7 linked regions of the Rattus norvegicus genome follow. The protein of the gene in region 1 interacts with the protein of each later gene in a pairwise test. Links are inferred from orthologs where the notes say so. Each region holds a gene or a part of one and is shown in the gene's direction. Other genes may lie near its edges. The genes, in order: Ldlrad1, Adgrg7, Mall, Pln, Bnip3l, Vti1b and Bnip3.

Evidence for each region.
Region 2: the proteins of Ldlrad1 (region 1) and Adgrg7 interact in binary tests that used the Homo sapiens proteins (3 or more experiments, as listed by UniProt). The two-hybrid records come from large-scale screens. The link is inferred for Rattus norvegicus from reciprocal best matches to the Homo sapiens genes LDLRAD1 and ADGRG7.
Region 3: the proteins of Ldlrad1 (region 1) and Mall interact in binary tests that used the Homo sapiens proteins (3 or more experiments, as listed by UniProt). The two-hybrid records come from large-scale screens. The link is inferred for Rattus norvegicus from reciprocal best matches to the Homo sapiens genes LDLRAD1 and MALL.
Region 4: the proteins of Ldlrad1 (region 1) and Pln interact in binary tests that used the Homo sapiens proteins (3 or more experiments, as listed by UniProt). The link is inferred for Rattus norvegicus from reciprocal best matches to the Homo sapiens genes LDLRAD1 and PLN.
Region 5: the proteins of Ldlrad1 (region 1) and Bnip3l interact in binary tests that used the Homo sapiens proteins (3 or more experiments, as listed by UniProt). The two-hybrid records come from large-scale screens. The link is inferred for Rattus norvegicus from reciprocal best matches to the Homo sapiens genes LDLRAD1 and BNIP3L.
Region 6: the proteins of Ldlrad1 (region 1) and Vti1b interact in binary tests that used the Homo sapiens proteins (3 or more experiments, as listed by UniProt). The two-hybrid records come from large-scale screens. The link is inferred for Rattus norvegicus from reciprocal best matches to the Homo sapiens genes LDLRAD1 and VTI1B.
Region 7: the proteins of Ldlrad1 (region 1) and Bnip3 interact in binary tests that used the Homo sapiens proteins (3 or more experiments, as listed by UniProt). The two-hybrid records come from large-scale screens. The link is inferred for Rattus norvegicus from reciprocal best matches to the Homo sapiens genes LDLRAD1 and BNIP3.

What each region holds. Positions count from the first base shown.
Region 1 is NC_086023.1:127,226,392-127,229,891, forward strand, and holds the end of Ldlrad1 (low-density lipoprotein receptor class A domain-containing protein 1), read left to right. Parts: intron 1-843; coding exon 844-972; coding exon of another isoform or gene 973-989; intron 990-2,175; coding exon 2,176-2,324; 3' UTR 2,325-3,362; downstream 3,363-3,500.
Region 2 is NC_086029.1:57,281,457-57,285,703, forward strand, and holds the start of Adgrg7 (adhesion G-protein coupled receptor G7), read left to right. Parts: upstream 1-1,447; 5' UTR 1,448-1,674; coding exon 1,675-1,789; intron 1,790-4,247. UniProt on the Homo sapiens protein: Orphan receptor.
Region 3 is NC_086021.1:135,401,267-135,405,446, reverse strand, and holds the start of Mall (MAL-like protein), read left to right. Parts: upstream 1-1,380; 5' UTR 1,381-1,410; coding exon 1,411-1,521; intron 1,522-4,180.
Region 4 is NC_086038.1:33,178,994-33,182,493, forward strand, and holds the end of Pln (cardiac phospholamban), read left to right. Parts: intron 1-1,066; 5' UTR 1,067-1,174; coding exon 1,175-1,333; 3' UTR 1,334-3,248; downstream 3,249-3,500. UniProt on the Homo sapiens protein: Reversibly inhibits the activity of ATP2A2/SERCA2 in cardiac sarcoplasmic reticulum by decreasing the apparent affinity of the ATPase for Ca(2+).
Region 5 is NC_086033.1:45,363,214-45,366,713, reverse strand, and holds part of Bnip3l (BCL2/adenovirus E1B 19 kDa protein-interacting protein 3-like), read left to right. Parts: exon of another isoform or gene 1-1,049; coding exon of another isoform or gene 1,050-1,108; intron 1,109-1,697; coding exon of another isoform or gene 1,698-1,822; coding exon 1,823-2,006; intron 2,007-3,500.
Region 6 is NC_086024.1:103,706,688-103,710,779, reverse strand, and holds the start of Vti1b (vesicle transport through interaction with t-SNAREs homolog 1B), read left to right. Parts: upstream 1-1,292; 5' UTR 1,293-1,615; coding exon 1,616-1,730; intron 1,731-2,255; exon of another isoform or gene 2,256-2,338; intron 2,339-4,092. UniProt on the Homo sapiens protein: V-SNARE that mediates vesicle transport pathways through interactions with t-SNAREs on the target membrane. These interactions are proposed to mediate aspects of the specificity of vesicle trafficking and to promote fusion of the lipid bilayers.
Region 7 is NC_086019.1:203,144,963-203,148,462, reverse strand, and holds part of Bnip3 (BCL2/adenovirus E1B 19 kDa protein-interacting protein 3), read left to right. Parts: intron 1-2,207; coding exon 2,208-2,355; intron 2,356-2,943; coding exon 2,944-3,025; intron 3,026-3,500. UniProt on the Homo sapiens protein: Apoptosis-inducing protein that can overcome BCL2 suppression. May play a role in repartitioning calcium between the two major intracellular calcium stores in association with BCL2.

The sequences.
Region 1 (3,500 bases):
TCCCCATAACCACATTAACTCCCCTTGCAGCTCTGTGGACTATCCCTAGGTACCACCTCCATGTCCTCATGCCCATGGTACCTCAGCCCAGACCTTCTGCTACAAGGGTAGGGAACACTGCACCTCAAATCCGTGAGAGCTGGACTCTAAAGAACCCTTTAACCCAAATCCAAGAGTTGCTGTGTGCATGGCAATCCCAGCACTTGGAAGGTGGGTGCAGATGATCAGGGGTTCGAGGTCATTCATTTCAAGTTTCAGGCCAGCCTCCTTAAATGAGACCCTGCCTCAACAACAAAAAGTGTCACCAGGTCCATACTCTAGCTCCTATCCTATGAGCTACTCCAGAAAGCCAAGAGAGACTGCCCAGCCTCTGCTTAAGTGTTTCTAGGATGGCGAGCTCACTACCTGAGGCTGGCCTGGGTTTGTGTGAATCTGGGTCACCCTGTCCACTCCCTGACGTAGATGCTACTTTGGAATTCTGGGGCCCTTGTGTAAGAAATCTGGTTTTACCTGCTATGTTCTGATGAGCAGAGGCTTCTTGTGGGGGACTTGACCCTAGATTGAAGGTAGCAGGCTAGCAGAGGGGGGACTTACGCATGAGTATGCACACAATGCTGAGTGTGGGGACATACAAGGGGTGCTCTCAGGGACCCTTGTAATCCCACAAATGTATAGAGTAAGAACACTCCACTCTTTGGAACCAACCTCCTTCCTGGAAGACCTCCTATGCCCTTTCCAGAATGAATGGGGAGACCCTGTAGTATGACAGGTGATTCAGCTGCAGGTGGCCAAGATACTGAGGTCAGAGGTGAATTTTGTCCTGCCCCATTTGTCTCTCTATAGGAGATTTGCCCAAGAGCCTCCCCAGCTTCCTCCTGACCACCTGTGGAAACCCAGACTCCTGGATCTACTCAGACCAGAAATGTGATGGCACCAACAACTGTGGGGACTGCTCAGATGAGCTGAGCCCAGGTGGGGGCTGGGCACAGGTGGGCAGTGGCCAAGGGCATGGGCTGAGCGGGAATCCCCATGGTCCCCTACATGTCCCTGAATCCTGGGAAGAACATTTCCACTGTGGAGTAAACGACGTCCTTAGACATCCTCACACTCTTCCCCAGCACTGGGGAGATGCTCGGTGAGGCACTGCTGCACAGCATGAGAGGCCAAACCCCTCCCCGTGGTAAAGAGAGAGAACCGACCACGGGTTCCTAACTTCCACATGCTGTGCGTGCACCACGTCAGGGAGGTAGGGTCTAAAGATGCAGCTCAGCTGGTAGTGTGTCTGCCTAGTGTGCACAAGGCCTGGGTTGGTTCTCAGCACTGCAGAAATGAGGTATGGTGGTACATTTCTATAACCCCAGCACTCTGAGAGTAGAGGCAGAGGAGTCAAAACTTCAAGGTCATCTTTGGCTCCATAGTTGAAGGCCAGCCTGGGACTGTCTCAAAAGACGAAAGGTAAAGGACCATCAAGGAAGACACTGTAGACCTTATGCCTCCACACAAGTGCCCATATACGTGTCCATACCTTCACATGTGTACATGTCTGTATGGCATGCATGCACGCACATTCTATGCCTGGTGTTAAATTAACAAACATGTTCTGGGCACTGCTGAGGTGACCTGTACCAGATTCTGGAAGGGAGAGTCAGGAGTCAGACCCATCCCCAGGACTACACCATGCTGGTGCCAAGAGGAAACACCCGGACATTGTAGAATCTACCAGACACCTTAGAAAAGACATCACAGAACAGGACATAGAGAACAGAGGCCAACAGTCGGGGCTGGTGTGTAAAGAGGAATGGGGGATCCACGGATACAGGACAGAGGGTAGAAAAGGGAGGCACCCCCAGAGCATCCAAGGGATCGCTGTATCAGGAGTGAGAGCTGAGCAGAAAGGTAAACTGGGTGGTGCAGCGTCTCCGCATCCATTGATCCCCGAGCGCTGTCTTGTTTCCTTTACCCAACAGTTGAGCAGATGGGTGCTGAGGCTTAGCCGGGCGAGCAGGTCACACAGCCTGTGTATGAGTTGTGCAGCTGCAATTCTCTCTGCTGCTGCTGCAGGGGAGCCCACACAGTCACCCCACACTAGGGGTACAGGAGCTATGCGTGTTGCAGATCTTGCCTGGAGAGCCCAGGATCGACGGCTGTTTATCCCGCTGGCTCTTGTCTCCACAGTGACTGCGTGCCCACCCTGTGGCCCTGGGTGGTGGTATTGCACTCCAACTGTGTTCAGGTACTGCAGCTGTGTCCCGAGGGTCCTGTGCCGGGACGGAGTGCAGCACTGCTCTGACTGGTCCGATGAGTACTCCTGTCCTGGACCCTGAGTGAGCCTCATGGTCTGGGTCAGCATGGAAGCTGGCACCCGGAACCTTAGACCGGAGCACCGAAGCCTACACCACAAGGGCAGGAAGAAACCTTTGTCATCCACCAGTGGCACCTAGCCCCCATGGTCTCTGAACAGGAATTCAAGTGTCTCAGCCTCCACCTGAGCACTTCCAATGACACGGAGCTCACCACCATGTTAGGCAGATTCTAACAAAGATGAGGCGGCCTCCTCCATCACTTTAGGCCTGTCAATGAGACCACAGGAGAAATGCTCCTTGACTCCAGGGCAGACTTGAAGTCCCAATCTTGTCATTCCTGGAAGAGACAAATGTGTGGCTTAAATACCAAGTGAGTTTAGCCCTGTGGGTAGAAAACAAAGCACACACATTTACCACCATTCGGTGCCTAAGGCAGGAACTCAAGGCCCCTGGAGCTTCTTGCCCAACTCACCAGCAGCCCCGACTGATCACATGAGGTTGCACATGGCACTTGGGACCTGGAATCTTTCTAGTTTCCCAGTATCCTAGAGGCTTGTGGCTGTGGAGTAGAAGACCCAGAGACAGTGCAGCTTAGAAGAACCCCTCTATGCCTTTAGTCTTAGCCTCTGCCTTGCTTCACCCCACAATTGCCTGCAGGTTTATATTTTGGTCCTGCAGCCAGGACCTATATACCTTGCATATCTTCTAGCTTTACAACACCCACCCAGGCAAGGATGGGTGTGCTCATTAGACAGATGAGGAAACAGAGGCCTAGGGGATGACTTGCCCAGGGTATACTCTGGAACTGGGACTCAAAGTCAGTCTGCAGAACTCTGACCTCAGGGTCTTCCCCACTATTAATGGGGAAGAGAGATGGGCTAGAGAGATGGCTCAGCAGTTAAGAGCCATGGCTGCTCTTCCAGAGGTCCTGAGTTCAATACCCAGCAACCACATGGTGGCTCACAACCATCTGTAATAGGATCTGATGCCCTCTTTGGGTATGTCTGAAGACAGCTACAGTGTGCTTATATAAATAAAAAAATAAATATTTAAAAAAAAGAATAGAGTCATACCTTGGTGGGGGTTGGGGTGTGTGGGGAGGGTGATGAATATTAAAGAGGTAGCTTAAGGGACCAAAAGTATCTTGTCCTTATCCTTAAAGACAGACTTGGGATCTGGCTATGGAGGCCCCTGTTA
Region 2 (4,247 bases), on another chromosome or scaffold:
GAAGCTCTAGAATGAGGAAAAATTGGGACTTTATGTTAATATTCCCCCCAGAGTTGTACTTTACGAAGTATTATTAAAACTTGGGGAACAATACATAATTTTGAGGGGCAAACAAACGATCAGTTTAGATGTAAAATTTATTTTATAAATCTATGTTTAATACTCCCAGAAGAGTATTCTGTTGCAACACATTTTTGTTATCTTTAACATTGTGGTCTGTTTTATCAGGAGTTACACCCTGGTTTCTCACCCTGGAACATTGTAAGTGCTTGAGGGCTCATTCCTGCCTGTGACAGTCTCAAGACAAAGAAGGCACTTTATCATCCTGGGTCTAAATGAACAGAGGAACCACCCACTGACTCATCCACCAGAACCAGAACTTCAGTCACGTGAGTACTCATTAGCACCTTCATTTGAGACTAGGGAGGAGGAGGGAAGAGTAAAGCAGGATCCCCAGAGTCACGGCTGCATAGGAGAGATAGCAGTTTGTGAAAGTTTTAAGGGAGGATTTCTTTCCTAGGATTGCTGTGACAAAGTACTACAAGCTATGTGGCTTAAATAACAGGAATGTATTGCCCTCATGTTGTGGTGACCCCCAACCATAAAATTATTTTTGTTGCTACTTCATAACTGTAATTTCACAATTGTTATGAGTTGTACTGTACATAGCTGATATGCAGGCTATCTGATATGTGACCCCTGTGAAAGTTGAGACCCACAAGTTGAGAATTACTGTTTTAAAGCAAGATGTCATGGTAGTCGGTTCCTAGGACTTTGAAGGAAGGTAGTACTCCAAGCCTTTCTCTGTAGCCTTTCTTTGCAATTGGTTGTATTATCCCTTTGATTCCTCAGACATTGTCCCTCTGTGCACATTGGGGCCCAAATGTTCTCTTATAAAGACAGCAACCATGTTGGAATAAGGCCCACACTATTAACTTCATTTAAACTCAATTATATTTCAAACTTATCTTCAATCAAGGTTGCATCGTGGGTGCTTTGGGTTAAGACTTCAACTCGTGAATGTGGAGACATCATTTAATTCATAATAGATGAGTTTAATTCTGTTTTAGTGCTTTTATAATCCTCCCCAAGTCCATATACTCATTCATCAGTTGCAGCTGTTAGAACGTAGGCCCCTTAAGGAAATTCAAGAGTGGAATCCTATGTGGCTATTGCAGTTTATCATATCAAGGCCAACAATGACACCTTATCCAAGAGGGTGTTTGACTCTCCTGAAGCACTTGCTCTTAAAGCCAAAGTACAGCAGACTGATCTGTAGATAACCAGAGGGATTCATTGCCTTCCTGGCTTCCTCTTTGGGTTCTGGTAACTTGCCTCTTTCCTGGACTGTATATCTTGTCCAGATAGTCACCCTTTGACCCTCAAGGCTAATCCCGCCCCCTTTTTATTGCCTTAAGTTAGTTTCCTTTCTGAGAATCCCCACCTGTTGATCTCCTCAGTGAAGAATGAGCATACTGCGTACCTTTTATTCTGTGACTCCAACTACATTATTGTGAATTAACTTCAAAACTCTTAAAACATGAGAACACCTGCCAGACAGACCACTGAAGGGAAGAATTCTTTTCATGTTTTATAACCATCTCTGGTTACATTTCTTGACTTAAGGAGAAGCCAGCTGTTTTGCACATAGTGGTGCAGTGTTTTGGCTTCACCATGCGTTCCTGCCGATCCTTCGATGTCCGGGTCCTGGTGACTATTGTGTGTGGTTTGCTGACGGGCATTGTTTTGGGACTGGGCATCTGGAGGATGGTCGTAAGGATCAACAGAGGTAATGTCACCCTGCTATAATCTACTGAGACACAGAGTGGGTGTTGGGGTGGTGGTGGCACTGAACCTCTGACTCTGCTACCTGATATTTCAGTGCCAGGGAAGTGCCCTGTCCACACAATGGCTGCCTTCCACAATACCACTTAAGAAGTGTAAGAGGGCAGTTGGTTGATGGCCAGTGCACAGCTTTATTAAAAAAAAAAACAAAAAAATGAGACTCTCTCTCTCTCTCTCTCTCTCTCTCTCTCTTCTTGTCTCTGTGTGTGTGTGTCTGTGTGTGTGTGTGTGTGTGTGCGAGTCTGTCTCTCTGTCTCTCTCTCTCTGTGTATATGTGTGTGTGTCTGTGTGTCTGTGTGTCTGTGTGTGTGTCTGTGTGTCTGTGTGTGTGTCTGTGTGTCTGTGTGTGTGTCTGTGTGTATGTGAATAAGCAGGGTGTTGGAATTGGCTTCTATGTGCTATTTTAATTCCTGAGTTGATAGAATGAATAACAATAGAAAGTATAACGATGTATATTTGGGTTTACTGAGCTAAATCCTATAAAGGTAAATAGCTGTGAACTCAGACTCCCAAAAAACTATGTACAGAATAGAAATTCATCTCAAGAAGGAAGCTTAGTGATGTTAGCACTAGAGTCATGCATGAAAAGAACTTAGGTTGATGTACAAGTTTCCCATTTCGCAGGTGTAGAAAATGAGTTAAAGTTGAAAAAATTAAATTAAGTTTAAAGGTTACTTTCCTGCTGGTTCAGTATGTGCTTGAAACGTTTCCTGCTGTGTTCCAGACCTCATGGGGAAAATAGGGACAGAAGCATAACCTGTAAAATGACAGTGTTAAAATAAAGCCCTTGAGAACTCAAAAATACATTTTTAATCATTCTAACACTGCATTCCTTGGCCTCTGGAGGTCCACTATAAAGCGCCGGTTCTCAACCTGTGTGTTATGACCCTTTTGGGTACCTTCACAGGGGTCACCTAAGACCATCTAAAAATATTACAATTCCCAACAATAACAGCATTACAGCTATGAAATAGCAATGAAATAATTTATGGTTTGGAGATCAACACTGCATGAGGAACTGAATTAAAGGGTTGCAGTGTTAAAAATGTTGAGAACCACTGCTATAGATTCAGAGCTGAGGTTTAGAACAGGTAAAACTGAGTGACTAGAGGTAACTAATGCCAGTAAGGAGAATCAGTCTTTCCTCAAGGAAGATGCAATGGTGCCAGGCTGCAGAATCCCATGCTGAGGACGAATGTTTGATACTGGCTGGTGCTGAAGAGGTAGTGTGGAATGCAGCCATCCCTACATAACATAAACAGAATAGAATCCAGAGGATACTGTGTTGGCAGCATTTAGAGAACTTGAGTAAGAAATTAAACAGGACAAAAGAAGAAAACTAAAAAGTTAGCGTTTGTAAAATACTTTCATTCAGGTTTAAGGAAAACCATAAAGAGTCTCTCTCGCTGTTACATGGATTAAATGTGTAAGATCTCGCTTACAGGATTTATGTTTGGGAAATGTCTTCCTTCTTGTCGCATTCCCAATGGCCTGTGTTTTCAAAGGGCAACTTGTGACCTAGAAATGGCACCATTAAATCGAACCGTTGAGAGGACAAAGTACAAAAGCAACATGAGGCACAATACTAAACAGAGGCCTGTAAGTGCAAGTTAGTCAAAGGCGTAGGGGAAACTGCTTAAGCCTGGGCACACCTCCGAGTTGTTGAGGGCCTTTAAAGGAAGTAAAGGGAGTAAAGGGTAGTAAACGTTCTGCTTCTCAGGGCAGTAACATGCCAGCCCCTCAGAAAGACTAGCTTTGCCCTTGGTGTTAGTTTGTCAGTTGTCTCTTTATATAAGGGATATCCCTCCCTTGTGGGGATAGAATTGGGGGAAAGGCAACAGAAAATTCGAGGATTGTCACAATCATTAACAAATAGGAAGAATGAAGACTTAGGCTGCTGCTGTGTGTGCTCCTTGTACATTGCATTTGGAGTGTTTGCTTTTGTTTAGTTGTTTGTATTTGTTTAATTCAGTTCCAGTCCACTTCCCTTTTTTTTTCCTTTAACTTCTTCTAGGAATTCCATCTCTTTTCCTTCCACCTCCCTTCATTCTACTAATGTCATTAATAATAATAATTATTATTATTATTTAATAATTATTAATTATTGTTATTAATTGAGTATTTTCTCTTTAGTTCCTTACTTAGTTATAAGTTATCCTTAAATTAACATTTTTCTTAGAGTCAGAGTTCATGCATATCTCAGAGAAACTGATGTATCTGTTAAAGCCTTTTTTTGTTTGTTTTTTGAGAGCTTATTTTATAGTTTGGATTGTCCTCGGACTCACAATTTGTATCCCAGATGACATCACACTCATTGTATCATGAGCAAGACACCTTCTGCACCAGCATTCCACGTGTGGGGTTATGGACATGATCCCACACTCATGGCTAACTATAAATGT
Region 3 (4,180 bases), on another chromosome or scaffold:
CCTCACAGTCTACTCAGAATTCATGCTTTCCAGGCCAGTGAGATGGCTTGTCAGGTAGAGGCATTGACTGTCCCTCAAGCCTGATGACCGGAGTCGAATCCTTGGAACCTGTGTGTACTTCTTACTCTGCTGTTCCTGATGCCCCATGTAGATTACGGTCACGTCAAAGGGGGTCAGAGCCCCAAAGAATGCATAATGCTTATGTATGGCATTCACAAAAGGTGGATGGCTTCGGATGCCAGCAGCGTGGGGACTGAAGCATATGAACTATAAGCTCTAGAACTTGGAAAAGATTGAGGCTGGCTCGAAGCTTGCTGAGGAGACCTTTGCTTTTCCCTGCAATGCCTTGGCTTTAAGCTTTGCTTCGTGTATCCAAACTCTGCTGGCCGCTCCAGACCAGGTGGGGCTAACAGGCTACTTCTCCAAGCTTGCCCAGGAGTTCCCTGCTGTTGCTAAGAAACAAGACACAGGGCTCTTGTGCAGGACATCCCCCAGTCCTTGGGGCAACTCTTCCATGCCTCCTCTCCTCCTGAGGAGGCTTTCCAACTAGCCTTCTGGAGCCAAAGAGGGAAGGAAGACGACTCTGGGGCGCCAGACTTTTTCCTCAGGGTGGTGGAAAAAAAATGAAGGTTAGTGGGTTGGTAAAGAAGAAAGTGACCCAGTCTCCAGACCTGACGTGTGTGTGTGTGTGTGTGTGTGTGTGTGTGTGTGTGTGTGTGTGTGTGTGTGTGTGCAGCCAGCCCCAGGCTCTACTCAGGAAGGAACTGCCTGGCTCCAATCCTGTGTCCTAACTGACTAAGAAGACATCAAGAGGAGGAACCAAGAGGAATTCAGAGTCCCTGAGGAGGGGAGGTGGAAACCAGGCTGCTCCAATCCTTCCATTAGAATTTGAGGACAAGGCGGATGCTGCTGTGACCGCTCTGTGATCCTAACTGCACCTCTTTCTAGTCTCCTTTCTTGGAAAGGTACAACATAGACACGTGGTGGTCTGTCTGAGCTCCAGATGTGTGTGTAGGTGGCTAACCATACAGTAGATCCTCAATAAAATGGTCTTTATCTTAGCAAAAAGAGCCCTTGCTTACACTCTGAGCACAGAGATCATCAGGGGCATACAAAGCTGTTCCATTCACACACTGTCACTCATATCATCTGGAGTCATTTGCTCCAGCATTCAAAAGTTCCTTAGCAGGGAGGTCTAGATAGAAAGAGCCTCTGCAAGGCTGGTCTGTCCCCTCTCTTGCCTAGCCACAGTACACAGAAGGACCTGATCCACTGGAACCTTTCTTTTCCCCTCCCAGGCGACGACGTCCCTCTGGCCGATGGGTGTGTCTGGCGGGCGGGAGGTGATTCTTGCACAGCTGCGGGCGCGGGCGAGTGCCGCGGAGTAAGGACGCCAGCATAGGTGACAGCATGGCCTCCCGGGACACACCGCCGGCCACCAGCTACGCCCCGCCTGAAGTGCCCTCGGGGGTCGCCGCCTTGTTCCTCACCATCCCCTATGCCTTCTTCCTACCGGAGCTGGTGAGTGTGGCTGCCCCCACCTGCGGGGAGGGAGGGGCGGAACCACCGGGAACCTCTCTGTAACTGGGATGGGGAAAGGCAGCTAGCTACAGGCTCCTGCTTTTCCCGTGTCCCAGACTAGGTTCCAATAGAGCGAATTTTCCTCTTTCCCAAAGCTTGAAGAGCCATCCCCAGGCCACTCGCTTGCTGGAGGAGTCCAGCCACCTTCTAGACTACCCAGACCCCTAAGAAAATTCTATTACCTGGTTTCTTTCCCCCTTGCTGTTTCCTAAAGTTCAAAGAACTAGGGGACTCTCTAAGGGCCTTCTGAAAGAAGGTCTCCCAGCATTTTCTCAAATCACATCAGCTGACTTTGAACTTTGATTTATGTGTACTCCCTGCCAGAGGGAGCTCCTGACAGCATCATCCATAAAACAATCTGAACCGCCCAGGTTACTCTGGAAAACTTGTTGCTGCCCGACTCTGGGACACCACACAGCAGAACTGGGCGCTAGTCCATGCCTGCACTGAGCAGTGCATTCAGTAGAAAACAAAACAGGTCCCTCGGCTGGTTCCTGCTCTCATCCACCTCCCCCACTCCCCGCCAAGCCTCCCGTAATATCTAGTTTGTGGGTGAAATTTTCTTCTTAGCCCTGAATTTGACCATGCTGCCTCTGGATTGGGAGGGAGACTTGGAGTAGGACTGCTTACATAAAATGGGTGTGACCAACCCTTTCCCTTCTCCTGGTCTTCCGTGGAAGGTTAGGTCCCCTTGAGTGACCTTTAGGCAAATTGCTTAACCAACAGCCATTCTTGTCGATCAAGAAAGGGAAGTCAGGCTTATGGGTTCCACAGGTAGGTGGCCTTGATAGAAACTCCACCTAAGAGGCAGGTTTCTTCCAGCGCCAACCCCCCACAAATGTGGGCATCCTGCCAGGCTGATCACGTCCTGAGCTCTGTGTGCCAGGCCCTGGGTGTGGGCCTCACTTTGGAACAGCCACATGGATGGCAGGATGGCTCTGCTGAATTCTATTGAGAGAATGCTTGTCAGTCACGAAAATCATGGTCAGCGGAGTGGCTACCTGCCAGGGGTCTCTGTGGACAGAGAGAGGCTTGGGAGCATTTTCTGAGCAGTTAGAATGCAGCATGGTGTCCCAGCCAGATGAGTGAGGGTCCAGTCCTGTCACTGGGAGTTGCCACTGGAAGAACACTGGATGCCGGAGGCAGGAAAGCAGTCAGGTAGAGAACTGTCACTAGAGGCGCTGACAGGTGTCCCCACCTCTCCTCCTGCAGTTGGATTCCTGGAAAAGTACTTTCCTGGTGTCCTGGGACTTCGAGGGGATGAGGTCATTGTCATTGATTTGATTTTCTTGACTTACTTTTAAATAGTTTTAGATTTCTCCTAAAGCCATAGTGGCCGCACAGGAAGTCTGTTCCTCACTCTGAACCCCCAGGTCTCTCCAAGCCAGGAAGTTAACACGAGCACTCCGCCATTGACCATTGTTGTCCTACTTGCTCATTTCCCCACTAATATCCTCCCCCCAGCCCAGGATCCAGGTCAAAGCTCCTGATTGTGCTTGGCTGTCCTTCCCCTTAATCCCGGGAGGTTCCTCCGCCTTCGTCTCCGTCTTCTAGAGAAAGCACGGTCGGTCGGCTATTGCGGACCCTGGTCGTAGTTAGACTTCTACGCTCGCTCACTGTCCCTGTCGCTTTAATTTGCAATCCATCTTCATTCATTGATGAAAACTTAGAAAACACAGAAATGTGTTCACAGATGGAGCACATGCACGATCTCTGTGTGTACGTGTGTGTGCATGTGAAGGGATATTTCAATCTGTGTGTGTGAGTGTGTGTCTGAATCTGAGTGTGTGTGAGTGCACATATGTGAGTGTGCTGTGTGTATGTGTGTGTGTGAAGGGGTGTGTGAGTCTGTGAGTGTGTCTGAATCTGAGTGTATGTGAGTGCACATATGTGAGTGTGTATATGTGTGCATGTGTGCATGTGTATGTGTGTGTATGTGAAGGGGTGTGTGAGTCTGTGTGAGTGTGTGTCTGAGTGTGTGTGAATGTGTATATGTGTGCATATGTGTGAGTGTCTGTATGTGTGAGTGTGTGCATGAATATGTGTGTATGTGTGTGAGTGCATGTCTGTATTTGAGTGTGTATGAGTGTGTGTATATGTGTGCATGTATGCGTGAGTGTGTGTATATGTGTGTGTGCATGTATTTATGTGTGTATGTGTATGAGTGCGTGTCTGTATCTGAGTGTGTGTGCAATGTATGAGTGTATGTGTGTGCATGTATGTGTGAGTATGTGAGTGTGAGTGTGTATGTCTGTATCTGAGTGTGTGCTTGTGTTGAGTACATAATTCTGCACATGCTGCTTGTACCTGCTCTGAGCATGCCTAGAAGGACTCCAGAATGATGTGTGCCTGTTTGGAGGATGGGGAAGGAAATGAGAAGGTGGGGGAAAAGATTTTGATGTCATGGGCAGAAGAAGCTGGGAAGATGTTATGTGTGCGGGATGAGTTTGTCCAAAGCCCTTCTTTTGGCTCTAGTGATCTGATGTATTCTCGCTCTGCTGTCTACTGGGGCAGTGTGAAAGCACCAAGCCTCCAGGCACCCCTGATCCCTAAGTCTTCTGGTGTGAGACAAAAGTCTATATAGAACACATTAGAAAGC
Region 4 (3,500 bases), on another chromosome or scaffold:
CTCAATAAATCAGACCTTGTTGTCTCTAGACAGTAAATAACTGCACTTTATTTTATATTCTTGTTTTAAAACTGATTGTAAACAGTATTCTTAAAAAAAAAAAAAAAAAAAAAAAAAAGTACCAGCCCTGGGAACTCCTTCACTCAGTCAGCAAAGGCAGAAAGGAGGCCTCCAGTTTGAGGCCAGTCTGTTCTGTGTAGAAAGTTTTAGGCTAGTCAGGATTACCTAGCAACACCCTGTGTCCAAACAAATAAATAAATAAAATGTTAGTGATAAACAATAATAATCTCGAAGTCAAAGCAGCCGCTGCCTCTAGACAGCTCACTGGTTTATTTTAAACCTGTACTAATTTTCTGTTAATAAGCTTTATTTGGTCAGCAGTGGTTTAAGAGCTTGGGGAGGGGGGGACACAACCCCACCCCTGGCCATCAGGATTAGCTGAAAACTGGAACTGTCTGGGATAGTTCAGAATCATAGCCCTTACTGTGCCTCCTCCCGAGCTTGGCGGTCTTCAGCACTTGACCACCTTGTTGTTTAGAGTAGCACTAACCAGGAGGCTGTACCTGGGAGGAGTCAGGAGGATATGTATACGATTAAATGCACTGTGTGATTCCACAAAAGCATAAACCATAAAGGAAAATGGCAAGCCGCTAGAACCTGTTTACTTCATATTTAACTTTTCACTTAACCATTTTATTTCAAACTAAAACTAAGATCCAAGATATAAGTTACTATATGCATCTTGTTATGATTAGTTCCGAAACATTTATAATAATAAATGTTCATACCAATTGTGTTTACAGAGAAACAGTTTTAAAAAAAAACAAACAAACAAACAAGGAAACCGTCCCAAAGAAGCATTCCATGAATCAAGTAATAGGTGCCAAACCTCCAGCCCCTCCGCTCACCCAGGACGAGTGCTAACATATGAGAGGAGCAGAGAGGCTGGGGCTGTAGACAGTGATAAAATACAGCACTGAGGAACATGAACCGGTACAAAACTGCATATCTATCCAGAGAATGGGTTTAGTATGAACCTAATCCTTTTACTATTTTTACATTCCAGGCCTCCTAAAAGGAGACAGCTCGCGTTTGGCTGCCTGCTGTCAACTTTTTATCTTTCTCTTGACTACTTAAAAAAGACTTGTCTTCCTACTTTTGTCTTCCTGGCATCATGGAAAAAGTCCAATACCTTACTCGCTCGGCTATCAGGAGAGCCTCGACTATTGAAATGCCCCAGCAAGCGCGTCAGAACCTCCAGAACCTCTTTATCAATTTCTGTCTCATCTTGATATGTCTGCTGCTGATCTGCATCATTGTGATGCTTCTGTGACAAGCTGTCGCCACCGCAGACCTGCACCATGCCAACGCAGCTTACAACCTGGCCCTCCACCACGAGGGAGGCAGTGCCGCCGCCTTCCTGCTGGACATCGTCGTGAAGGTCACGATTAAGAGTGAGACTGATGGCAGCCAGTGTGATCATCGGCTGGATCTTGTAAACTTTACCACGACTAAGTGTGCACAATGTAGCTGCCCGTTTCCTCAGTGTGGCTCATAAATGTCTTTCCTAAATACTTCTGACATTGTAGTATGAGTTTTAATTTTGAAACAGCACTACAAAAAAAGTTCACTTTCTATATCCAGCACTAGAAAGTTCAACTTATAGCTTCAGTTTGGGGAATAAATGAAATTTAAACTGCGTTGCCACCACTTTTTTTTTATAGGAACTAAATATTCTTCAGGTCTGCACAAAGTAGAAAATAATAATTTAAATGAAGTGTTCTTATTCAAAATAGCTCACTGGGTCCTCATATAGACGACGATGACGATGACCATGACGATGACAATGATTCAGAAGTCATGGTCATTACTGTCAGAACACATACCTTGAAAAAAGGTTGTGCCCTTTTTCTAAACACTAATTATTTTTAAGCTTATGAGAGTCAAATAGGGAAATGTAAAAGCATATTCTCATATAAAAATCTTCACTAATTTTTCCACTAATTGTGGAATTCAAGCACATTTACATTAACCACAAATGTGCTCTCTCTAGGGTTTGACCAGCAAGCAAGAACATCTTACTGTGTGGTTGCGATAATCACTAAAACATCAGAACCTCACCCGAAGGTTGGCTTGGCACAGATCTCCTGGGTTGTGCCGGGCTTCTCCAGATAATAAATGATAACAACAAACCAGACAGCTGTGCTGGGGTACAGCTCTCTTCCTGCATCCCCCAGAGAGGAGAGGCTTGCTCTCCTAACTTAAAAACTAGAGATTCTATTTTACAATCCTTACTAATCACGGTTTCAATTTCCCTTTCTAAATTCCTAATATCTCTCAATAAATACTAAAAGATTAGGAGCTAAAAACTGTATTGGAAAACATTCACCAAAATTTAGTTAACTTAAGTTATCCAATACAAAACAGTTCACACCTCTCCTGTGCACTCCCACAGTTCACACCTCTCCTGTGCACTCCCACAGTGTTAAGTCCAGCTCAAGGCATTCTACCAACACAGCAGCTATTAGGAGAGTTATAATTAGATATATTTTCCATAATGATTACTACGAAGATACGGCGCATCAGTATTCACCTTGGTCCCTAACAGAGCAGCTGAAGGCATGCTGATTCGAACTGTTTGAATCCCTGATAGAAAGGAAGATGTCTGGTTTCAGAAATTATCCAAAGAGTAGCCCACAAAGGAGTCCCACGTTAATAGGCGTCTCTTCAGAAAAGGCTGGGGGTGAGGGTGCCCATCACAGAAACTATAAAACATGGATGACATAATCTCTAAATCAATGTTCCCTTTGTGATGCTATGACCCTTTCATATAGTTCCTCATGTTGTGGTGAAACCCAACAATAAAATTATTTTTGTTGCTATTCCATAACTGTAATTTTGCCTCCACTATGAATTGCGAATATTTGTGTAGACAAAGGTTTGCGTGAGGGGTTGCAACGCACAGGTTGAGAAGCACTGGTGAATGGTCTGCGGAATTATGTACAAGTGCATAAGTTCGTAGTTGCCATGCTGAGAGGAAAAGGAAGGTGAAAAGCGCCTGGCCCTTTACATTCTCACTACCACACCAACTGTCAACTCATAAGTTCTTCTCATCAAACATTTAATGTTTAATGCCTTTTACATTTCAGTAGTTAAATGTTTATCTATAAAATGCAATAAGAATGGCCTATATTCAGATGGGATTATGATTTTGGTGCAATTGCTATACAATTAAATGCTATTACTATAAAATGTTGTCATTATAAAGAGTTTTGTGTTGTAAAGGGCAGAGTGGGGGGCACTTTCCCCAAATAAAGTAGAAATCAAGATTTCCTAAGACAAACATGAGAGGGTGGACGTACATACAACAGTACTGCTTAGCCTCTGGTTATTTTGAATCTTCTGGCAAAGCAGGAAAGCAATCAGTCACATTAGAAGATCTGGTTATATGCTATACCAGGTTTTTAATATCTTGAAAGTACATGATAATCCATATAGAC
Region 5 (3,500 bases), on another chromosome or scaffold:
GAAGCAGTGGGAGTAGGGGGGAAATTGTTTATTCTCTCTGTCCCTCCCTCTAGAATATTTTACAGAGATCTAAATTTAGATGTGCTCTGCACGTTTGTAGCCAGCTAAAGATCTCTCTTAACGATACTGGCGTTACGTGCTCATCCTTCCGGGTTCTGTCCATGCCCATCCTCATGTAGGTGTAGAATGAGGCCAGGTGCTGTTTGCCTGTGTTGTTTGGAATTAATTGGTGACTTCAAGACTGCTGGCAAGGGGCAGAGGGAGGAGGCGCTGCCTTTGATGGAGAGACAGCTAACCCTTTAGTAACAGATACAAACTCCTTGGTATGTCAGTAAGTGTTGGCCTGCAGTTTATGTTATGTGGTTGGTTCTGGCAGCTCTGGGAAGTAGGTCCCTCTGTCACAGCTCTGTATTCTGATGACACTGAGTGAGGATAGGAGGGGTTAAAGGCTGGAGTGCCATTCCAGCCAGAAGAGCTGTTGCCTCCCTCTAGGCCTGGTGTCATTGACTCATTTGGGTGTATTTTAGGGTTTGAGGTAGTCTTTGATGATTCTGACTGATCTGCTAAGGATTTAGAGAGAGTTGGCCCTGCTGACCTGCTAGGTTACATTTTGGAGGTTGTTAGTTTGGTTTAGGGGGAAATTTTATTTGTTTTTTCATTTCCTTTTGAGTTAGAGCTTTATTCTGTAGCCTCGGCCAGCCTTGGCCTCACTCTTGATCATCATACTGCCTCAGACTCCAGAGTACACGTGTGAACATTGTACCTGGCTGCTGGTCATATTTCCTAAAGCAAAGGATTGTACTGAGGGAATGTAGAGCATGTCTTTTTTGTCAAGTTGACTAATTGGCTACTGTTGCAATTCCTATTAAAATTTTAAGAACCTTAATCATTTAACTTACTGGGCCAATAAGAACTTTCAAAACGTTCAGATTATAAAGGCCCATCCCATTTTCCTTTGGTCCCACCCCCTTCAACTATTTGTCCCAATTTTTTTTCTGCTTGTAACCCATCTACAGTGGCTTCTCCCTCCTCCGTACCCTCAGGACTTAATGAAAACTCTAGAAAGTAGAGGTCCTGGGAGAAAAAAAGGAAGGAACAACTTGACAAGGTATGTTCGGTGTAGAAGAGAAAGACTTGAAGCGAGTAGCAAAGGAGAGAGATGCACATCTGTGGAATGGAGCCAGTGCTCCCCACCCGCCAAGTTTTAATCTTACCTAGCTTCATTAAGGACCAGCTGCATTACTGCATGCTCCGGCTTTGGGAGCTATTTGGGGGCTTTGTGATTACATTCAGGTTTCCACTCCATGAGCCTTTTCAGTTTGTGTTAGTAGACAGTTGTTGTATTGTTAAGATGAACCGGGCGATGTCACTAAGTCATACGTTGACTTAATTTAGTGCACATTCCTAAAGAGCTGAGGAATTCTGTAGCGGACATGGCAAGTGCCTTTGTGTGTAAGTGAAATGTTAAAGGTAACATCCTGTCTAGTAAAGAAAGAGGCATGTAAGTTTTGAAGAATGGCCTGAGTTTTCACCAAAACCAATTTGGATACAAATTAAGCTTTAACAAAAAAGAAAAGCGGACGGAGAACACATGGTCGTAGTTTCAGATTTCTACCTTCTGAGTGCTTTGGTGCATGAGTCCCTGTGGGGCATAACAGCATGGACTTCTTGACTTCCTTCATATTTATTTTCTTCAGAAGACTTTGGCTTCTGTTTGAGGCGAGTCAGAATTCTTATCTGAACCCAGCATATGGACATCTGTGGCACAGGAGGGATTTTGGCCCTGCCGTGGTTCTGACTTATTATCTGAGCCGTCCAACAGGTTCCTGGGTGGAGCTACCCATGAACAGCAGCAATGGCAACGGTAATGGAAATGGGAAGAATGGGGGCCTGGAGCACGTTCCTTCCTCGTCTTCCATCCACAATGGAGACATGGAGAAGATCCTTCTGGATGCGCAGCATGAGTCGGGACAGAGCAGCTCAAGAGGCAGTTCTCACTGTGACAGGTAAGTAAAGCTCTGGGTGCTAAGTTGGCAGTTGAGTGGCTGTCAAGTTAACTCTGTAAGGGGCAAGCTTATTGGCCTAAATATTCGTTAGTAGAATAGGCCTCCAGACTTATTGTAGCATACATGTTTAAACTAGACAGCTAGGCCAGGCATGATTGTGCACACCGCTAATCTCAGTACTTGGAGTTAGAGGCAGTGAGTTCGAGGTCAGCTTGATCTACTACATCTTGAGTTCCAGGCCAGTCAGGGCTGTGTGGTGAGGTCTGGTCTCAAGAAAATTAAATTAATAACTGAATAGCTGCTGGATAGGCACCTGAGTTGCCCACCCCCATTGTCATTTTTATTCTCAGATTAAATTAATTTTAGATGTTTATCAGTTTGAAATTGAGTAACAGGTCAGCAAGGTGGTTAAGCACTCGATGTCAAGCTTGGTTGACTTGTGTTTCATCTTCAGTCCCACATGGTAGAAGGCGAGAACTGACTTCCTCAAGTTGTCCTCTGGCTTCCACATACACAGCCACACATGTATCTACACACACAAACTAAATGCAATTTTAAGATGAAAGTTGAATTTAGTGTCATTAATGTAATCTCAGAGTTCATCTGAGTTTATCCCATTTTCCTGTTTTTTGGGCCCATATTATGACTCACAGTAACAAATCTCTGTCCCTTTCTAGGCAGCAGAAGCAGGGAGAGCCATGTGGCCTTCTTTCACCCTTCATAGTAAAAGGTTGGCACACATGAGACACGTAATAAATGCTCAGCTACAGGTCTGCAAGTTGACGGAGGTTACAGCCGTGTCTGTGGCTCTGTGACTCTCAGTAAGCAGTGTGTTCTCAGAGGACGTGTCACTCAATTCTTACATCGCTGTGTGCTTCTTTGCCTCTGAAACCCTGAGTCCATGTATTATTTTTATGCTGAGGACTAAAAATACAGAAAGCTGTAGGAAAGGAAAACAAGTGATTAATTTTCAGTTTGAGCTTTTTTTTTTCCTTTCCCTTCCTGAGAAACTAGGTATTAAATAATACTAACAATTCTAAGCTCATATAGTTAAGTCATACCTATAGTCTCATCATTCGAGAGGCTGAGCAGACATATTTCTACAAGATGAAGGCCTGCCTGACTACATAACCATACGTAGTAATAACCATCCCCAGAAATAGGGAGAACTTGTTAGTGTAGTCCCTGGCACAATGTTAGCCTTACAGGCTTCTCAGTGCTGGTTCATTTGCAGCTGGCTGATTATTCACCATGTTGAAGATGCACATACACAAGAAGAAGATTGAGGGATGTCTAGAAAGCAGCAGGCTAGGTAGGACTAGAGGAAGAGATTGTGCATGTTTGTCTTAGCTGTTATGTGTTTCATCTATAGTACATGGTTAATTTTTGTCTGAGAAAAAGAGAAAGCAGTTAAATCATACCTGACCTTCCTGTATGCCTTATGACCCAGTTCTCTCTCCAAGGCAGCTGGAAGACAGGTTGGTTGGTTATTTG
Region 6 (4,092 bases), on another chromosome or scaffold:
AACTCCAGCTCCAGAAGATCCGACGCCCTCTTCTGGGCTCCACAGGCAGAGCACTTGGCCCTGTTAATTTTATATTTTGCTTTTGAGGTAGGGTTTCTCTGTGTGGCCCTGGCTGTCCTGAAAGTGCTTTGTAGACCAGGCTGGCCTTGAACTCAGTGATCCATCTGCCTCTCTCTGCCTTCCAAGTGCTGGGATTAAAATCAAGCAACACCACTCTTGGCCTATCTTTGAATTTTATGAGAAAAATATAAGAGTTTGCACCACTGCTAACAACATCAGACTTTATCTTTGCACAATGCATTTTACAATTTTTTTCATTGAATTTAATGGTCAATGGATTCAAGCTTGTAAACCTAGGGCCTCAAAGACAAAAATCACCAGTAACCCACTTTACCATATACCTTGGAAGATGGATTACAGGATTTGCTTATGTTAGATAAGTGTACCCTCAGCTACATCCTCAGCCATATGTGTGTGTGTGTGTGTGTGTGTGTGTGTGTGTGTGTGTGTGTATTTCCATGTATAAATACTGAGCTCCCACGCAAACTTTTGAGAGTAGGCTCTTTGTGTAAACCCTGCCAACAGTATACATAGGAATTTATACCTATGAAAGAACAGAGAAGACTTCATAATTGTTAATATGTTTTATGTAAGGGCAGATAAGACATGCTAAGACGGGGCTGGGGATTTAGCTCAGTGGTAGAGCGCTTACCTAGGAAGCGCAAGGCCCTGAGTTCCGTCCCCAGCTCCGGAAAAAAAAAAGAACCAAAAAAAAAAAGAGAGAGAGAGAGAGACATGGTAAGACGGGTCTGTTTTCCACACCAAATCATACATTACTCAAGGGCAAAGGCAAAGATATTTTGATCAATATTTAACTTATCAAAATGGCTATTCTTAACCTGTTGTGAATGAGAACCCGGCGCAGCCTAATGGACTGGACTGGCTCAGCCCCTAAAAGCTTTGTGTATTCTGGGAGCACAGTGCTCATTTTCCTGTTCTGAAAGCATGTGACCCTGGCCACTTAATCTCCCCAGTTATAGAGCTTTACCATCCGAGAAGAGCAGGGCAAGCCTCTGCTCTTCTATCTATCTAGGGCTGAGACTGAACTGAAGTCAGGTGGCAGAATGAAGTGCAATGACAGCTAGGCACTTGTGCTATCCAGTCGCTGCGCAACAGGGCTGGCACTCCAGGCCCTCCCTGCACAGCCGCCCTTCCTCACTTAACTACAACCCCCAGCATGCACTGCAGGACCGGCGGGCCCGAATGAGGCGTCCGAGGCGCCCGTCCCGCGGGCTCCCTTGGGCTCTTCGCTTTGGTACCTCCCCTGTGCCCACTGCCTGTCTCCAGGTTGGAGACAGCAGCTCGCCTTGGCGCCAGGCCGCGCCCCTATAGTAGCCGGGTGTCGTCCTCGCCTGGCTTTCTGTCAGGCTTTGGCGCTCGCACAGTGACAACAGGGGGGAGGGCGTCCGGCTCGGAGGACCCCGGAAACGCCTGATTCCGGGAGGCCGAGGTGCGGCAGCGGTGATGGCTTTGGGGCCGGGTAGCTGATTCCTGAGGTGGGAGTGGGCCCAGCGCCCGGAGTCTCAGTGGCCGCAGCTCACGAGCAACCTGCACTATGGCCACTTCCGCCGCCTCCTCCGAGCATTTCGAGAAGCTGCACGAGATCTTCCGCGGCCTCCTTGAAGATCTACAAGGGGTGCCGGAGCGGCTGCTGGGAACCGCGGGGACCGGTGAGGCGGGGGCGGGACCAGACCGGTAGAACTCCGCAGGGTGCGGGATCCCAAACGCAATCCCGGGCTCCCGGCTTCCAACTCGGGCACGCCCCCTGCTGCTGTCCAGCCCCGGGCGCCCAGGATCTGCAGCCTCTTGTGACTGGGGGCGTGCAATGGGATCGACATTAGGATGTCGTCTCCTAGCGAGCCTCCCACGTCCTAGCCCCCAAATTCTTAGTTCTCCTCCTCTCCCAGCAGCATAGGGCGTTCTTAAATCTACGGTCCTGTGTTTCGTTAAGACGACTTTTTTATATATAAAAAAAAAAGAAACTTAGTTTGGGGTTGGGGATGTAGGAATTTGGTTGGTAGGCAATGAAAATTTAAAAATAGTTGTAAAGCTTATAGGTAAGACAGTGGTGGGAGGTGAGGGGAGTAAAACAGCCACTTAAAGAGGAACCTGAATGTCTCACATTAAGATTTTTGACGTAATAGGGTAAATCAGTAAGGAACATAAGCAGCTGAGTAATGTGGATTTCATTTTAGAAGCAAGGCGGCGGATAGCTGGATAGAGGATGTGAGAATGGCTATAAGAGACTGTGTTAGGAGCTTCCGTGACAGTTGACTAGGTAAGCATGGGAATCTGGAGAGTGAGCATTAAATCTAACAGGTGGTTCCGAGGCAGAGATTTATGAGATTGGTGGATATGAGTAGGAAGAAAGATTGAAGAGGGTCCGTGTTTTCTCACGTGATCAGTTGAGTGAATGAACTTAAATAAGAGGCGCAAACTCGTTTGAGCTGTAGATGAGAATGTCTACCTGTAGATTAGAGATAACAGTGTGTTCTGTACCAAGCATGACAAAATATTTTTCTGCCATTAAAAACATTATGAAGAATTTATTAATCTAGTAAATACAGTAAAAATTAAGAGATTAACAGTAGTGAACACTTTTAATCTCAGCACTTGGGAGGTACAAATAGGAGAATCTCTGTGAGATCAAGGCCAGCCTGGTGTACACAGCAACACAGAGATTTCCAGACCAGCTAGATTTTACATCTTGAGACTCTATTTAAAAAGAGAGAGATTCTAGAGCCAGAAGTTATATATACCTTTTATTAGTTATGTGATCTTGCAAGTTATTTTAACCAAACTAGTTTCTACTATAAAGTAAAACATAGCATCTAACTGAATGGGGTTTTTGAGTAAATGAGATATGTAAAGCTCTTTAAAATTACTGTCTGACAATAGTAAGAGCTACCAGCTATTATTAATATGTTTGCTATTTTATTTAGAAATATTAGCTCTCTATACAGTTATTCTTAGGATGCCCATTTCATTTGTTTGTTTTTGCTTTTTGGGTTTGTGTTTGTTTTCCAAGACAAGGTTTCTCTTGTGTATACCAGGCTGGCCTCAAACTCAGAGATCCTCCTGCCTCTGCCTCCCAAGTGAGAGCCAGTAAACTGGAAATGAAATAGTATTTTTGCTTGCTTGTTTAGCATATGACCTAAACTCCCAGGAACAGTACCCAGCACATCCTAGGTATCTGATAAATATTTGCTAGATATGTCTGGGGTGGTGGTGCATGCCTTTAGTCCTAGCACTTGGGAGGCAGAGGCAGGAAATCTCAGTGAGTTCAAGGCCAGCCTAGAGTATACAGTGAGACTCTGTTTCAAAAAAAAAAAAAATACTACATATTGTATTTGTTAAATTACTGTAAAAACCATTTTTGGTTGTTAAAGGTACTATGAGTTCTTAGAAGAAAATAGCTGGGTATCGAAGCAGAATAATTTATTTCTCTCCCTTTTATTCACATTCATTACTCTTCAAATTGATGTGTACACTGGTTAAAACACCCAAAGTGAAAGAGAGACTTATTTCCTCAAGGTATAGTCTGTATTCTCGTGGCCCTGGAGGGATCGCTGCCACAGTGTGTCCTAATCTAGGAGGTTTGTGGCAGTAACAGTCTTACCATGTATGGAAATCATTAGACTTTTATAGTCTTCATCACCTACATCTGGTATCTCTTATCTTGACATTGCATCTTCTGAAGAGATTTCTCAAAAGCCTCAGAAGTGATAGAATTTTGTCATCTGATTAATATGTTAAGTGCTTATGGTTATTGTTTTAAGTTTTGGTTTTGTGGTACCTGTAGACATGTGTCCTTATAATAAGGTTATTGACAGTTTTCCATTTTAGTTTGCGTGAAGTCCAGTATGGATGCCTGAGACCTCAGTTTTGTTGTTGTTGTTGTGTGTGTGTGTGTAGCTTAGAGGAGGTCATCTTATGCTTTCTTGTTCCACTGCATGGCTCCTAGGTCATCAGTCTGCGGCAGTTTACCTGGTAAGTCAGCCAGCCAGCCCTGAGACGCTGTGTTTTTAGAGC
Region 7 (3,500 bases), on another chromosome or scaffold:
ACTGCCCTGGTTGATTTTGGAAAATTGGTAGTGTAGGAGAATCTCTACATTTGGCATCAGGACTGGGTACCGGGAAGAAGACAACTTGATCTCAAACTGTTAGGCACTAGAAAAGATATGGGTAGCATTAAGCTCCATCACATAAATTGGGACAGGCTCAGATCTGAATACAAGATTGGCCTAGACAAAGGGAACTGGCCATAATGATTGCAGCTGGTCTTGAACTCACAGCAACATTCTTGTCTTAGTGACTCGGAACTGCAGGGATTCTACGTGTGAGCCACTATCCCTGGCTTCTGGGTGTCATCAGACAGAAGGGAGGAGGTCCAGCAAAAGACATTAGGCTGGAACTGGAGTGAGTATAGGATTTCCAGATCCCAGAAGGCACTGGGGCCTGTGTACAGCAGCAGAGGGGCTCTGGGCTCTGCCCTTCTGAGTTGGTGATGTGCTTCATGTGGGCTAGGCCTGCTTCTCTATGAGGCAATCTGAGAGGCTAATGAGGGAAATCATCCTTATTTCAAAGTTTGTTGTATAATCATGTTAGTTTACTGAGAGGCTGTTGGTGGCATGAACTATAAATCCAAACTTATTTCTGGTTAGCTCAAAAACATTTTCTATAGGCAAATGTGAGTCAAAATAGACAGAATCTTGGGCCCAAAATGAGGCCCATACACATTTCTTACGCTGCCAAAGAAAGCACCAGGGTCCAGAGAGATGGGAGGGGCTTGCTGCCAAGCCTGAAGTCAAACCCAAATGATGGGAAGAGAGAACCCAGGTATTGCAAGTTGTCCTGACTTCGTATGCATACTGTGTGTGCACAGGTGCCACACAAACAATGGCTAAGTAGAAAGCAAGGAAGCAGCAGCATGGGGTGGGCAGCAGAGGCAGTCTTCAGTAAAGGATGCCCCTGTTCCAGGACATAGCATTCATCAAATTGGATCCAGGAGAGTGAAAGACTAGTATGAGGGTTGACACACTGTGTAGTAGCACAAACTCAAGTTGGAATTACATGCAGTCTGCATGGCTCTTTGTAGCACAAACTGACATAAAGCTTGGCAGTCCTCCTGCCTCAGCCTCCTAAATAACTGGGATTATGGGTGTGTGCTACCATGTCTTGCTGAACACACATTTATACACACAAACATTTGGCAGTAATGGGGATTGAACCTAGACTACAGCCTTACGATTTTATAAGGCAAGCACACTTCCATTGAGCTCCCCCCAGCCCTCGCTTTAACTATTTTATTTATTTAATGTATGTGAGTACATTGTAGCTGTCTTGAGATACACCAGAATCTGTTACAGATAGTTGAGCCACCATGTGGTTGCTGGGATTTGAACTCAGGACCTCTGAAAGAACAGTCAGTGCTCTTAACCGCTGAGCCATCTCTCCAGCCCAGCATGAGCCCTTAAATATTGTAATAGATGCATTCAGCAGATCAAACTGAAAGCAAGCCACAGATGTAACAGTACAAAGAGTTCATTTATTTTTGTGGTGTTGGAGAACCAAAGTCTACCCTGAGACTTCATTTTTAATGTGTGTCAATGCTGTGCTTCTATAGTGTAAATATTTGTGTGAGTACTTGAAAGGTAGATCCCTTCAGAGAGTGAGATATAACCAGAAATGAACTATTCTGTTTTCAAAACTTGCTAATCTGATTTCTGGTATAAATGCAGAGCAGTAATCAGACTTGTGGATTTTACAGAGTCCTAGGGCCCCGTGATCCTGAATGTAGAAACAGCTTGAGTTTAAGTCTTTAGCTAGGCACATTAGCCCATGACTGTACGCCTAGCGCCTAGAAGGCTGAGGCCTCTAGTTTTATGCCAGCTTAAATAAGATCCTCATCTTGGCCTGTGGTAAATCCACAGGTATGTAGAATACCTACATGGAATAAAAGAATGGCAAGAGATAACAGTGCAGTGTTTCAGCCTCAGGGTCCTTGCCTACTGGACCTAAAAGAGGCCAGCAGACCAGAAATGCAGATATCTGAAGTGGCATTAAAGTAGGGCCTAGAGTGATCTTTGGTATTTCCTGGGAATGTGAGTGGGTAGGTCTGTCTATCTGTCTATATCTTTGTTTATTCATTGATTGATTTGGACAAGTATTCATTGTGTGGTCCTAGCTAGCCTTGAACTCAGAGTACTGGGATTAGTCGTCAAGCCCCATGAGGGGGCAGATTTCTAACTGCCCATTTTGTCCTCTTCAGGCTCCTGGGTAGAACTGCACTTCAGCAATGGGAATGGGAGCAGCGTTCCAGCTTCCGTCTCTATTTATAATGGTGACATGGAAAAAATACTGCTGGATGCGCAGCATGAATCTGGACGAAGCAGCTCCAAGAGCTCTCACTGTGACAGGTAGGTGTTCTGGGTATCCCTTACAGTGTTGATGTCCTAGTAGATGGATAATCACAACCGCATGTTTTTGTGGGTGGGTTCCAGGTCTGAGGCCACATTTGGGAGTAACTCCTGAGGTAGTCATTAAGCAAGGAACTCTGGAGTCTGCTGGGAGGAAGTGATTTGGAGCTCAGTCTGGAGGGACTCTATTAAACCTAGAGATAGATAAAATTGTTCACTGTGAGCACCAAGTCTGAGCAGTTTTGTTCATGCCCCCAGCTGGCTTCTGTTCCTAGGCAGCGTCACTAGGGAGTGAATCCAAGGTGTGTGGCTGAAGTCAGTGATCAAAGGTCAGATGCTTCCGAGGGCTAAGTCACAGATCATGCGGGAGGGTGGGGCTTCTCTATGGAACTGTCTAGTGGGCTCCTGTGTGCTCAGCTCAAAAGACTAAGGAATTGTTTGGCACTGGTCTGGTGAGGGGCAAAAGGGAAGAGACATACTTTGGAGGCTCCTCTGCCACCCCTTAATGAGGTAAGACCCCTGCTTGGAACTTATGCATCTTATGACACAATTGACACGCTGCTCCGTTTTGTCTGTTTCTTAATCAAGCCCACCTCGCTCCCAGACACCACAAGATACCAACAGAGCTGAAATAGACACCCACAGCTTTGGTGAGAAAAACAGCACTCTGGTAAGCCATAGATAGGAAGTGGCTATAAGGTTCAGTGCATCATCAGTCTGGTGACTCCTGCATTTGCAGCATATGAGAGTCTTTACTCTTAGTTTTTGAGGAAGGGTGTCTCATTCAACATGGAGCTCACCAGTTGGATAGTTCAATTGGCTGGTGAGGTCCAGTGATCCTTCTATCCCTGCTTTCCAAGCCTGGGACTACAGACATGATCCATGGTGTCCCCTGGCATTTTATAAGAGTGTTGGATCTGCATTTTATTGTTTATTGTTATGTTTATGTTTATGTGTGTGTTTGAGAGAATGCCATATGTATGGAGGCATTTTAGAGCCCATGTTTTGGTTTTTATTTAGATAGGGAATCCCTATTCACCCCGTCTAGCCGGGAACTTGCTATATATTACCAGGCTGGTCTTGAACTTACAGAAAGCCACCTGCTTCTGCCCCGAGTGCTATGATTAAAGGTGTGCACCACCTTC